2 linked regions of the Macaca mulatta genome follow. The protein of the gene in region 2 interacts with the protein of the main gene of each other region in a pairwise test. Links are inferred from orthologs where the notes say so. Each region holds a gene or a part of one and is shown on either strand. Other genes may lie near its edges.

Region 1 (5,571 bases), on a different chromosome or scaffold from region 2:
CAAAATGAGCTAAATCAGGAAGTGGAGAAATGCATGGACAAATCGATGGATGGATGAAAAGATAATGGATGGAGAGAGAATGGACAAGTGGTTGGCTCAATGCCAACAGACAAGTGAACAGACAGATGAGTGAACAGACATCCAAGGACTATGACAAAGAGTAAAAGGCAAAGAATAAAAACCAGTTGAAGAAATTTAATTGATAATTTAGCAAATGAACATCTATGCCATTGAGAGAGTTACCCTTAACACTACTGCCTGCTGTTGGAGCCAAAGGGGAAAGACACTCTTTGGACTCTCCATTGTTTAGAGGGAAAGAATGAGAGCTGTGGATCTCAGACTCACCTTCCTGCCTCTTTCTGCTCTACCAGAATAAAGAGGTAGGGGCAGAGTTAGGCTCAGCTGGAAGCTCTTACCTCTGTGCCTCACTTTCCTTTTCCTGGCAATGCAGCCGGAGGATCCTCAGGGTCTCTGTAGGGAGAGGAACAGGGCCCTATGAGAACCTGTCAAGGTATCAGGTTTTGGCAGGGGAACACGGCCAGATCATGTCAGGTCTGTGGACACTTGATTGAGCTTTAACATTTACTACACGTCTAGTGGAAGCCACAGGCGAGAGGCAAGCTGGGATAGGTTTCAAAAGGCTTCAGCTGCCATAGGGGGAGAGTGGGCCTCTGTGGGCCGGCAAAAGGAACAAGCCTGGAGACGGGAGTGGCAGATACCTTGTTTTTTGCTCAAGATCTCCTTCAGGTGTACTTTCTCTCCATGCACTGGAAAACAGTGACACATTTTGGCATCAGGGACTATGCAACGCACCCTCAGGGATGGGGATTGCTCACGGTCACATGGGAAGTTGGGCACAGCCTTGCCCCCAACCCAAATGTGAACCCCTCGAGGTGAGCCCCTCCCTACTCTCTGGTGCCCACATTCCCTGTAAGCACCAAAGGGCCTTCACATTTACAGAGGGTGGCTGTGAGGGCCCTGGAGGATGCCCATGCTTTTACATGGGGAGGAGAGAAAAAAATACAAACACCCATGAAGTCGGGTAAGGGCTGTGAAGAAACACATCAAATAGGAAGGGGCATGTGACCAGATGGTGACAGGGTGCCACCTTTAGATGGGATGACTGGGGAATGCCAGTCATCCTGTCTGGGGACATTCTAACTTAGAACTGTTGATGTGAGGAAAGAGGAACCTGTATTATCTGAGGAAGCATAGGCAGCACCTGGCAAAAGCTCTGAGGTGGGAATGAGGTTGGAGGGTATTTCTTGAACACTTCCACAAGCAGAGAGGAGAGGGGGAGACTGGCAGGACATGAGGCTGGAGAGGGTACAGGACCCTCGGTCATGGCAAGGATGCTTATCATCTGGAATACAGGGTTGGGGTAGCTTGAGACACTGTGGGGACCTCTGGGTGACCCCCGGCTCTCTTACGCAAGTCCAGTTCCTTCCGCAGGGCCTCACAGATGGTCCGGGCCTCTCCTAGGTCTTCATTGGCTTTCTTTTTGGCTTCACCAGAGAGCAGAAAAACATTGTGTGAGTGCAGCTTCTATTCTCTTGCCAACAGTGACATTTCTCATTTGCCTTCAGGAAAATCTATAGTGGCCTAGATTTTATACAGTAGGAAACGAGGCTTCCAGAGTCCAGGCTCTCCTTGCCAGGCTCTGCTGATAGCAGGGCTAGGATCATGGGTATATTAACTATGGCAGTTGCATGCTGAAATGCCCTGTACTTAATTTAAGGCTCTGCTGCTGCTGTTGTGAATAACCAGTAACTTTGGAACAAGGGACCCTGCATTCTCATTTGGCACTGAGCCCCGCAAACCATGTAGCTGGTACTAGCTGGCAGCCAAGGCCCCTGAACTCACCTTGCTGGGCCTCATTAATCCGGTTAATCAGGACCTCAACTCGGGGCTCTAGGCTTCCCACTGCAGGGAGGAAAGGAGGTTGAGTTGACAGGGCAGGCAGAGGTGTCTCTGCTGCTTTCACGCAACACAGATCTATTCAGTACCTACTGAAAGCAGGTGCTGTGTGGGGCCCTCACAGGGCTCATGTTCTGGGTGGGCGAGACTGGGAACAGACACAATAAGATACTGAGTGGGGCTGTGGTAACTGTGTTCAAGAGAAATAAAGTAGGGCAAGGGGGGTTAAAGCGCAAAGGAGTGGAAAGCGCTCCTCAGATATGGGAAGGTATCATGAGAGCCCCAAATCAGGTGGCGGGGGGCAGGCCCTGCAGCTCTTTGGGTTGGGGTGGGAGGTAGTCAGTGCAAAGACCCCCTCTGAGGTGGGAACATGGCTGGCAGGAGCCTAGTGAGCAAAGAGGGAGTAGGGGTTGAGGGGAAAGGAAGGGAAGTAAAGGTGGCAACTTCTGGATTTAATGGACTGCAGTGGAGCCAAATGGGTGACCAGCAAGAGGTTTGGGACAGGGTTTTGGGAAAACACTTTGCCTTCCTTACCCTTTTTCCTTCTTTAATTTTGAATCATGGGACCCGATTTTTAGTTTAAGTAATTAAGTTTTAAAAGAAAGAGAAGATGAAGAGGATTATTTCCCAAGTTTATACATTGTGGGGCTGGAAATTGAACCCACATCTGCTTGGCCCCAAATCTCAGGCTGAGCCTCACACAAAGGAGACACATGACCTTTCTGCAGCTTTTTCACCATTTCCATCAAGTCTTCAATTTTCTGTGAGGATGTGTCCTGCCCTGTGGAGACAAAACCAAATATTTCAGAATCAAGCAGGGCGAGAGGCCAGAGGAAGGATCTGACAGCCCCTGGGCTGAGACTGAGGTAGACTGAGGGCAGGTCTCCAGCCAGAGTGGTAGCCCTGCTCCTTGTCCTAAGGTGAACAGTACACTAGATGAATCAGGCTCCTTCATGGTCAGCTTTTCCCTGCAGGATAAAATTATACCAGGCAGCCCTTTGTAAAACTCTGGGTGAGGGCAGGGGTATACTCTCACTGCTGAGGCTGTTCAAAGTAAGGTCAAAGCTCCTGATATAATAATTCAAGAAAAAAAATGAAGGTATAAAAACCTGGAACAAGGAGTCAAAAATCACTGTAACTAGCAGATGACATAATCTAGGAAGTTCTTAAGAGAGTTTTCTATAAAACCATAAGGATTAGTAGCAAAATGCCTTAGGATGTTAGTTTAAAAACATACATAAATACAAATAGCTTTCCTATATACAACCAATACTAAACCTGAAATCTCCCCATAAAATATTTCATATTAATTTTTTATAATTATTGGAACCTATTTTTAACACTAAAATTAGTAGATCTAAGAAATTATTTATGGCATTAACATTGTGAAAGGAAAATAAATCTTTTTATAAATATTTGAAAATAAATCAATTCAAAGTTACCCTCTGCTGAGATAGATGCGTATCTGATTTTGTAAAATAAAAATCTGAAAATAAATGAATTCAAAGTCATCTCTCTGCTCACTCAGATAAATGCATATCTGATTGCCTCCTTTGGAAAGGCTAACCACAAACTCAAAATAATGCAACCATTTGTTTTTTATCTACCTATGATCTTGAAGTCAACCTCCCTGCTTCAAGTTGTCTCATCAATGCTTTGAGGTGACCCACCTTTCCAGATCGAACCAATGTTCATCTTACATATGTTGATTCATGTCTCATGTCTCCCTAAAAAGCATATAAACCAACCTGTGCTCTGACTACCTTGCCATCCTGGGCACATGTCATCAGGACCTCCTGAGGCTGTGTCGCAGGCATGCATCCCTAACTTTGGTAAAATAAACTTCCTAAATTGACTGAGACCTGTCTCAGATTTTGGGGTTTCACATTTTGGCAACCACAAAGGGATTCTGAGTAGAGGTGCTCCTGACCTTTGACAAATATTCTACCAGTGCCTGCTAGCAGCTTGGCTATCTTTGTGGCTCAAACTAATTTGACAAGTTGCTGAGGTCTGGAAGTCCCCTATCCAGGGAATCCCTCATTTCCCAAAATTCGTTCGAAGGCCAGAGTTTATTTTCTGAACAACTCTTCTCTTTTTCTGGAGTTTTACTTGCTTTCAACAAGGAAGGCAAGTTTTCCTGCTACCATGAAAACTCATTTCTGGAGTTTGAACTCGCTCCCAACAGGAAAGACAAGTTTGAGGGTTTTTTTTTCCTGCTTCTAAGATGATAGAGACAAGTCTTCAGCCTAAGACCCGTCCCTAGGTAAGTAACTGAATTGGGGTTTGTCTTGGCTAAAGGTAAGATTAACAACCAGCTGCTCTTAATTTTTCCTTACCATTACAGTGTTCAGTAATCATACAAGTTGTGTGATCATTTGTTTGTTACGCTTAACCGCTATTTTTTTTGTTGTTTCTTTCTGTTTTTGCTGTTTTGGTCCTTTTCCCATTGGGTTTGGCCAATTCTATCTGACTTGATCAAATCCAAAGGAAAGTTCCAAATTATGTGGAACAAGGCCTCTGAAGTGGCTAAATTCCCATCAGAAAAGTGGTGGTGGGGGAAGAAAAAACGGCCAGTAAAAGTAAAAAAGGGGGAGAAGAGTTTTGATTTTGACTACTTAAGTGGTTTCATTTACATAACAAGGCCATCTTTTTGCTAGCCAGGCCAAACTGAAAGAGAAATGATTGTCACCCACACTGCAGTTCCATAGCTGAGGTTCTGTCTTCTTTTTTTCCGTAACAGCCTGGGTTTGGTTCCTAAATCAAGACCTTTCTGGTTTGATACTTGGTACTTCTGAAATAGCAGCTATTCGTCCTAGCTGAAATATGTTGAAGAGATTTAGAAAAAAAATTTGAAAGAAACTCAAAAGCTTAAAAGTCAGCTTAATTAAAAGCTAACATCCAAGATATGTGTGTGTCTCTGTGTGTGTGTGTGTTTAAAAGGCTTTCATGATTTTTCTTTTTTCTCTCTCCTAGGTCCTTGTGTTTTTTGAGCAAAATTTTTTTTTTCTTCTCAGTTGACTGAAGGCTATTTTCTTCATTTAGTTCTGCTGTCTCTCCTTTCTCTTGCACCCTCTGCTGCATGAGGGACCTAAAACAGTTTATAATAGCATGAGGTTCCTTAAAGAAAATGGAGAAGGCATCAGACTCCCATTTGCGGAGAAAACTGCTTTTCCTTATGCATTCCCAAGAGTGTAAACAGACAAATTCATCTTAGCTCTTAAACTGCTTGCTTTTGTACTGTGTTACCTGATATATATATATATATTTTTTTTTTTCTTTTTACTAATTATTGCAACAGAAGCTACTCTTGCGTTTTTAAGGAAGAGTATATTTTAGACACTTAGAAATTTTTTTAAAAAAATGTTTCTTAAGTGCACTGTTAAAGCATCCATGTGGTCTAGCCTCATAATAATTCTCCCTTTTTGGACACCCATGATTCAGTGTGGCCTCTTCCCAGAGCTCAGAGATCCAGTTAAAAGATAGGTGGTCACTATCTAAATAAAACTGGTCTCCTGTGATCCGACCACCTCCCACCAGGCCCCACCTTCAACACTGGGGATTACAATTCAACATGAGATTTGGGTGAGGACACAGATTCAAACCATATCACAGGCCAAGGCCGAGGCATGGTTGAGAAGGCTCAGAGGCACCTGA
Region 2 (6,356 bases):
GACCTCTCTTGGATTCTCTGTTTGGGGCCCAGGCTAAGGAAGTTGAATTTCTCTCTAGGTGCCAACTCGGGGCTCAGTTGCTGAGAGCTTGCTCTGAGGCCTCAGGCCCTGCATGAGGGCACCTGAGCATGGAACTGGGCTTCTGGACGAGGAGGAGTTCTACGGACAAGGTGGGGAAGAGGCGGCTGCAGGTGGAGAAACGGGAGGGATAAGGGGTGCTGTGAGGAGCACGGAACACCAGAGCCCAGAGTCTGGAAAGGTGGGCAGGAAGCCCCAGCCAGAGAGGCCTAAGTGAGGGCAGAGGGAGAGAGCTCTGGATTTCTGGAGCCCAGGACCGCAGAGTGGCTGCCTCTGACCCCAGGTGAGACGAAGGCAGCACTTTGTGAAACGACTGGGCTGGGAGGTGGCATTTCCTCTAGGCCTGGAAAGGGGTGGGGGCCTAGTGGGGGCCTCCTGCAGTTCCGCGAGGCCAGATTGACTGAAAAAATAACTAGTGTTTCTCAATTATGGAGTTTTCTTTTGTTCTTCTTAATGGAATAGAGCTTAATATGGTTGAAAGGCTGGGCTGTGCAATATAGAAATAGTAACTCCAGGCCGGGCGCGGTGACTCACTCCTGTAATCCCAGCACTCTGGGAGGCAGAGGCGGGTGGATCACCTGAGGTCAGGAGTTCGAAACCAGCCTGGTCAACATGGTGCAACCCCATCTCCATTAAACGTACACAAAAATTAGCTGGGCATGGTGGCATGCGCCTGTAATCCCAGCTACTTGGGAGGCTGAGGCAGGAGAATCGCTTGAACCTGGGAGGTGGAGGTTACAGTGAGTCAAGATCACACCACAGCACTCCAGCCTGGGTGACAGAACGAGACTCCATCTCAAAAAAAAAAAAAAAAAAGAAAAGAAAAAAAAAGAAATAATAACTCCATTTTATCAATTGGTCTAATTTCAAGGCCATGAATTTTTTAAAAAAGAAGAAAAAGAGAACTTTATTAATACCCAGGACCTCATTTACAATCACTGAAGAGGAAAGTGAGCCCATGTGGGACCCTGGCCCTCAGCTACAGAGGTCGCATGTCTTGGTGTGTGGCTGCGGCGCTCACAGGATTTTAGAGCTTCCTAGTCTGTACTCTACCTGTAGGCAGGAGCCAGTCATCTTATTTGTCTGTGGATTTGCAGGAATATCTAAGCATTATTATACCCATTTTGTAGATAATGAAACTGAGGCCCAGAGAAGTCAGTACGTTGCAAGGGCTCTTGTAGCTATCTGGAGCCAGAGCAAGTCGGTATCTATTGAGTATAAACTAAGTTTTGTGGCCCTACTTTTTAACCTAGCCATTGGGACACCTGATTTCTCCTGACAAGTCTGTGTGGCATCTGAGTGCAAGCGATTGTCCAGCAGATGCTGACATATTGGAGTATCTAGGGATGTTCTGGTGGTTGTTATGGCACAATATTTGGACAGTTGTGAAGAATCCTGGAGGAATGGCTGCCTCTTAGATTTGACAGGCATTAAGACCCTGGACTATTCTAAGATGGCTCTCCCTCGCAGCCCGGATGGATGCAAGCAGAACAGCAGCACCAGGGGGAGAGCCTGAGAGGATGGTGCTGCTCATCATGCACTCTGTGCTGTCAGTGGGCACTGAGAGCAGTGCAGGAGAAGCATCCTGGGACGAAATGGGAGGCAGGAAGGGCAAATGGGGAGTCCCTGTGTGCACCTGCTTAGCATCCCCCGGCTACACACAAATAAAATTTTGTGACTTCCTCTTGGGAGGCTGCATACTGGACTCCAGGGGGCCAAGGGTCTGAGTTGGCAGTCCCTGGTGGGTTAGAGACTGATTTTGCTCAGAGTGATCCCAAGACCAGCGTCTGGAGAGAAAGAGGAGGAGAGAAGCCAACCATCCACAGAGAGACCAGCTGAGAGGTGCAATGCTGGCTGGAGTCCCAGCATTAGAACTACAGGCTGCAGGCCAGACATGATGGATGAGCTCCAGACTCTGCAGAAATCACCCTGGAGAGTGGGAAACGCAGGGCTGACCAAGCAAGGGAGAAAGATGAAACCTCTGCATCCTTCCCTGTCCAATAAGATGGCCATTAGCTACCCATGGCTGTTTACATTTAAATTAATGAAAATTAGATAAAACAAAAACGCAATTCCTCAGTCTCATTAACCACATTTCAAGTGCTTGATAGCTATATCTGGCTAGTGGCTGCCAGATTGGACAGTGTAGATATAAGATATTAATATTTCCATCATGCAGAAAGTTCTACTTGAATGTAAATTATCTCATTCATATATTTTGTATTGATTACATGTTGAAATAACATTCTGGACATATAGAGTTAAGTAAGCTATACTATTAACTTTACCTGCTTCTTTTTACTTGTTTTACTGTGGGTAATAGAAACTTGTTGATTACCAATGTACCTCACATTTCTGTTGAACAGGGTGATTATAGGTGGATACAGGAACACACCTCCATTTATTCATTGTTCTTAATACCACATCCATCCAATGGTATTTGACTGGATAATAACTGTAAAAATCCCTTCTCAACAGTAAAGGTGACTGAGGCAGCTCAGGGTAATGGGGCACATGCAACTTTGAAGGCACAAAAATTCAGATTCAAATCTCATCTTCATCCCTCTACTAGCTTTGAAGTCTTGGGAAAATTACATGCCTCAGTTTCTCATCTCAAAAGTGCAATCAATGAATGATCCGCTGCATAGCATGTCTTCGAATTGTAAAGAAGACAGTGGATAGTGCACGTATGGGGGCTAGCGTGGGCTCCTGGTAAACCTTGGTAAAAAGGAGCATTGTTGTTATCATGAACATTTTAAGTGTGAAAGTGTAGGGCATTATGGTCAGTTTCTCTGGCCTCAGCCTACTCACAACCTTACTCCTGCCCTCAGCAGCCCCTCCCAGCCCTCTGCAAAGCCCTTGGCACAGCCTGGACACTTACCTGCTGGCAGCTGCTGGCCCAGGAAGCCCGTAGGGCACCCCAATTTCCCGAGCGCGTGGCCTTGCTCTCCAGGTGCATCCGCAGTTGTGTTTCCAGCTCCTGACTGACTTGTTCAAGGGCATGCACTTTGGCCATATATTCCACCAGGCAGCCCCCTAGGTCCTCAACAGCACCATGGTCCCTCTCCAAACCTGGAGCCGGCACTGTGGCCAGGCCTGAGCTCCGCAGGCCCTGAAGGAAGACACTGCTGATGCCGAGGGCCCGGCGGGTCACACGGGCACCCAGGCCACCTATGCACCCACTGGGTGCTGTTCCTACATAGACCCCAGGTGCTCGGACAAGGCCACTCATGGCATTGGTCCTGGAGGCTGGGGGGCTATCCAGGGAGGATGATGACCGTGGCCCCCTGAAAGATGCCCTGCGCCTCTGGAGGGGCATGCTGGAGCTGGCACTGGGGGGCAGGTCCACTACTACTCGCCTCTCGCTCATCACCCCTTCTGCCTCTGTGGCGCCCAGTGGGTTTACAGAGTCCAGTGGCTTTTGGTTTACAGCCCCAGCATCCCTGTGGCCTGGTCACGGGCCTCTCTGGAATCTCCCCTATCCCCGGGGCTGCTTTGTCTGCTGTCTTCCATGAGTTTCCATCATTCACTGAGCTGAAAGAGAAGAGGGCACTGCCCAGGGCTGTGTGCAGAGAGGCACTCATGCATTCTTTGATGCAGGGTCATGTGCCCAACCTCCCAGATTATTCTGCTGGTGGTGGGGGAGGCTGGATCAGTGCAGGCTGTGGGGGTAGACCATTTGGGTTTGTACATTTTACTACCTAAGAGTGGGCAAGGCAGGCATCAGGCAACCCCATTTTACAGACGAGTAAACTGAGGCTCAAGGACCTCAGATCACAAGTGTGGTGATCACTTGCCCCAGACCTCAAATTACAAGCTAGGACTCAATCTAGCTATTTTGGGGCTTTCTACATCCCTATGTGTACTGGCACATGTGAATGTGAACACATGTCCACACAGGCAATGGAAGATGAAAAGTGTCAGGAGGCAGCTCCAGGGACCCAAGAGAAAAGACTTGCCTACGGTTTCCTCTCTCAGTCCTGACAGCAGCTTCAGGTCCTTGCCTCGCCTCTCTCCTTTCCTCCTCAGCTCTGTCCTCTAATGCTCTGCTGTTCATCAGCTGCTTGCTGTTGGCCAGGATGCTTCCTCCCTCTGGACCTCACTGTTTGAACATTGGCATGAGCCTCCAACTCTCTGATGCACCAGATAAGGACCTTGGGTAGATTCAGGTCCCACACATTATGTTCCAGCCATTCCCTACACCTCTGCTTCTCCATCTGTTGGAAAACTGAGAAAAACAACAAAGACGGTGTTTTCCGGTAAGCTCTCCAAGGGTGCCCCAAGTTAGGATATGATGACACCCCTGGGTTTTAATTACTGACCTTGGCATCCACTAAACCATCAAGGGTCACACCTCAATCCATTCTCTAGGGTCAGAAAGGTTCCTCCAGTTCCAGGATGACAACATGGACCTAAAAACCGCTGTACATAAGTTTTACCCTGGAGAAACCAGGTCACCAAACCCCAGAGCTGGATATTTTTCCAAATGCTGTAATGTAGGAATGTACCTCAGGTGAGAGAAGGAGAAGGGAGCCAACCTCTAGTGAATACCTGATCCAGCCTGGTGTGTGGATGAATCGTATAGTTTATTTCATGGAATTCTCAACTCAGCCTCAGGAGGAAGGAGGTCCAGGGTTGACAGGTACTGCCATATGGGCTGTGAACCTCACAGTTCCAAAAGTACCATATCATATGTTCTACAGTTGGCCACTATCCTCTTACGTGAGGAGGACCCTGAGAACTGCAATGACTTGCCCAAGGTCCCGTGTCCAGAAAGTAGCAGAGCTGGGAGCAGACACCCTCTTCCAACCTCTGGGCCAGTGACTTACTTAGGACCTTCCTTGTTGCCCACCACCCAGAGAGCAGGGTACCTACCTGAGGTCACACAGGTAAAGGTAAAAAACCTGGTCGCCTACTAGAAGACTCTGTGTGCACTTCCTTCCTGCTGACCAGGACACTCCAACCCTTCCTTTCTTTATTGTCTTCCACTTTGTCTGTCTGAGATGGCCGGGAAGGTATTTTATAAATATCAGTGTTGGCTATTTGAGGAACAGATGAAGAACCAATCAGATTAAGTAAAGGACAGTAGTGTCCTTGTTTATTCAGACATAGCATTAATGCTGTGAACACCACCCGATGCACCCAGAAGGGGCAAGCGAGCCTGTGTTACAGTAACAGCCTCCTATACAGGTGACACTGACTTGGTTCTGAGGATCTGCATTATTGTGAATCCCAAGATGTATTGTCCAAGGCTGAATGAAAAGTTCAAGCTACTGATTAAGTTGTGCACAAATGTGTCATGTTTAGGTATTGTTATTCTCTACAGAATGGTGACACTCAATGGCCAGGTTAGCTTCAGACTTCTCTGGACTAAAGATATTTATATATAAATCCACTCAGCCCTGGAGGCGGGGAGAGTGAGGGGGGGATGTACTCTGACACCCTGCCTCCAAAGACCTGATGAAAGATGAGTCTACTTTGGAGAAACTGCAAACATGTTCAAAAAGATTTTATCAAATGATAAATTGCTAATCCTATTAGCTCGTCACATACATAAAACTCACCTTACTGTTAAATCAGATTGAAAAATACGGATGGATATAAAGTGGTGTTGGTACTGCTCAAGGAAGGCTTAGAGCTTATCTTGAAAAGAATGCAAAATGTATTAGCAACGGAATCCTCTGGCTAATAAAATAAGTTTATTTATATATACATGGTAGCTGAAATCTGTGGATAAGGAAAAATAAATCATACATCCACATATGTATATATAACATATGTATCTTTGATTACATATATTATATATAAATTTTACTTTACAGATTTTTCTCTGTATACTCACACACATTGGTATATTAAATGTAACAGTTGACAGAAATATTATGGTAAGGTTAAAAAGGTAAGACAACAACACGCTAGAAAATTAACTTAGAGAAACATTTAGTTGCTTCTTTGTGGGCTGAAGAGTCTTTGAAGAGAGACAACAACCGAACTCATGTGAAGTAGGTTCATACAACATTGAGAACACACTTTCGAAGGCCATCTTTTTTTCTTTTTTCTTTTTTTAAGGAAAACGTAGAAAGAAAAAAGTCATGATAGACCACAGCAACAACACAAACATATGACCCAACATTCAAGTTCAATTCCCAATCCGACTATAAGAGCATCTATATTCAAAATATACTATCAAACTATTTTTCTTTTAGAGAAAGGAAGTGTCAAAGCAGTAATCATCTCTCTCAGCCACAATCAGGAAAAAAGAGAGAAGCAGCCACCTC

The links. The genes of interacting proteins can lie anywhere in the genome.
Region 1: the proteins of BFSP2 (region 2) and SYCE1 interact in binary tests that used the Homo sapiens proteins (3 or more experiments, as listed by UniProt). The two-hybrid records come from large-scale screens. The link is inferred for Macaca mulatta from reciprocal best matches to the Homo sapiens genes BFSP2 and SYCE1.

Annotation. Positions count from the first base shown.
Region 1 is NC_133414.1:145,684,435-145,690,005, forward strand, and holds part of SYCE1 (synaptonemal complex central element protein 1), read right to left. Parts: intron 2,699-5,571; coding exon 2,636-2,698; intron 1,924-2,635; coding exon 1,864-1,923; intron 1,506-1,863; coding exon 1,431-1,505; intron 768-1,430; coding exon 720-767; intron 472-719; coding exon 417-471; intron 1-416. UniProt on the Homo sapiens protein: Major component of the transverse central element of synaptonemal complexes (SCS), formed between homologous chromosomes during meiotic prophase. Requires SYCP1 in order to be incorporated into the central element.
Region 2 is NC_133407.1:36,464,301-36,470,656, reverse strand, and holds the start of BFSP2 (phakinin), read right to left. Parts: upstream 3,477-6,356; 5' UTR 3,449-3,476; coding exon 2,960-3,448; intron 1-2,959.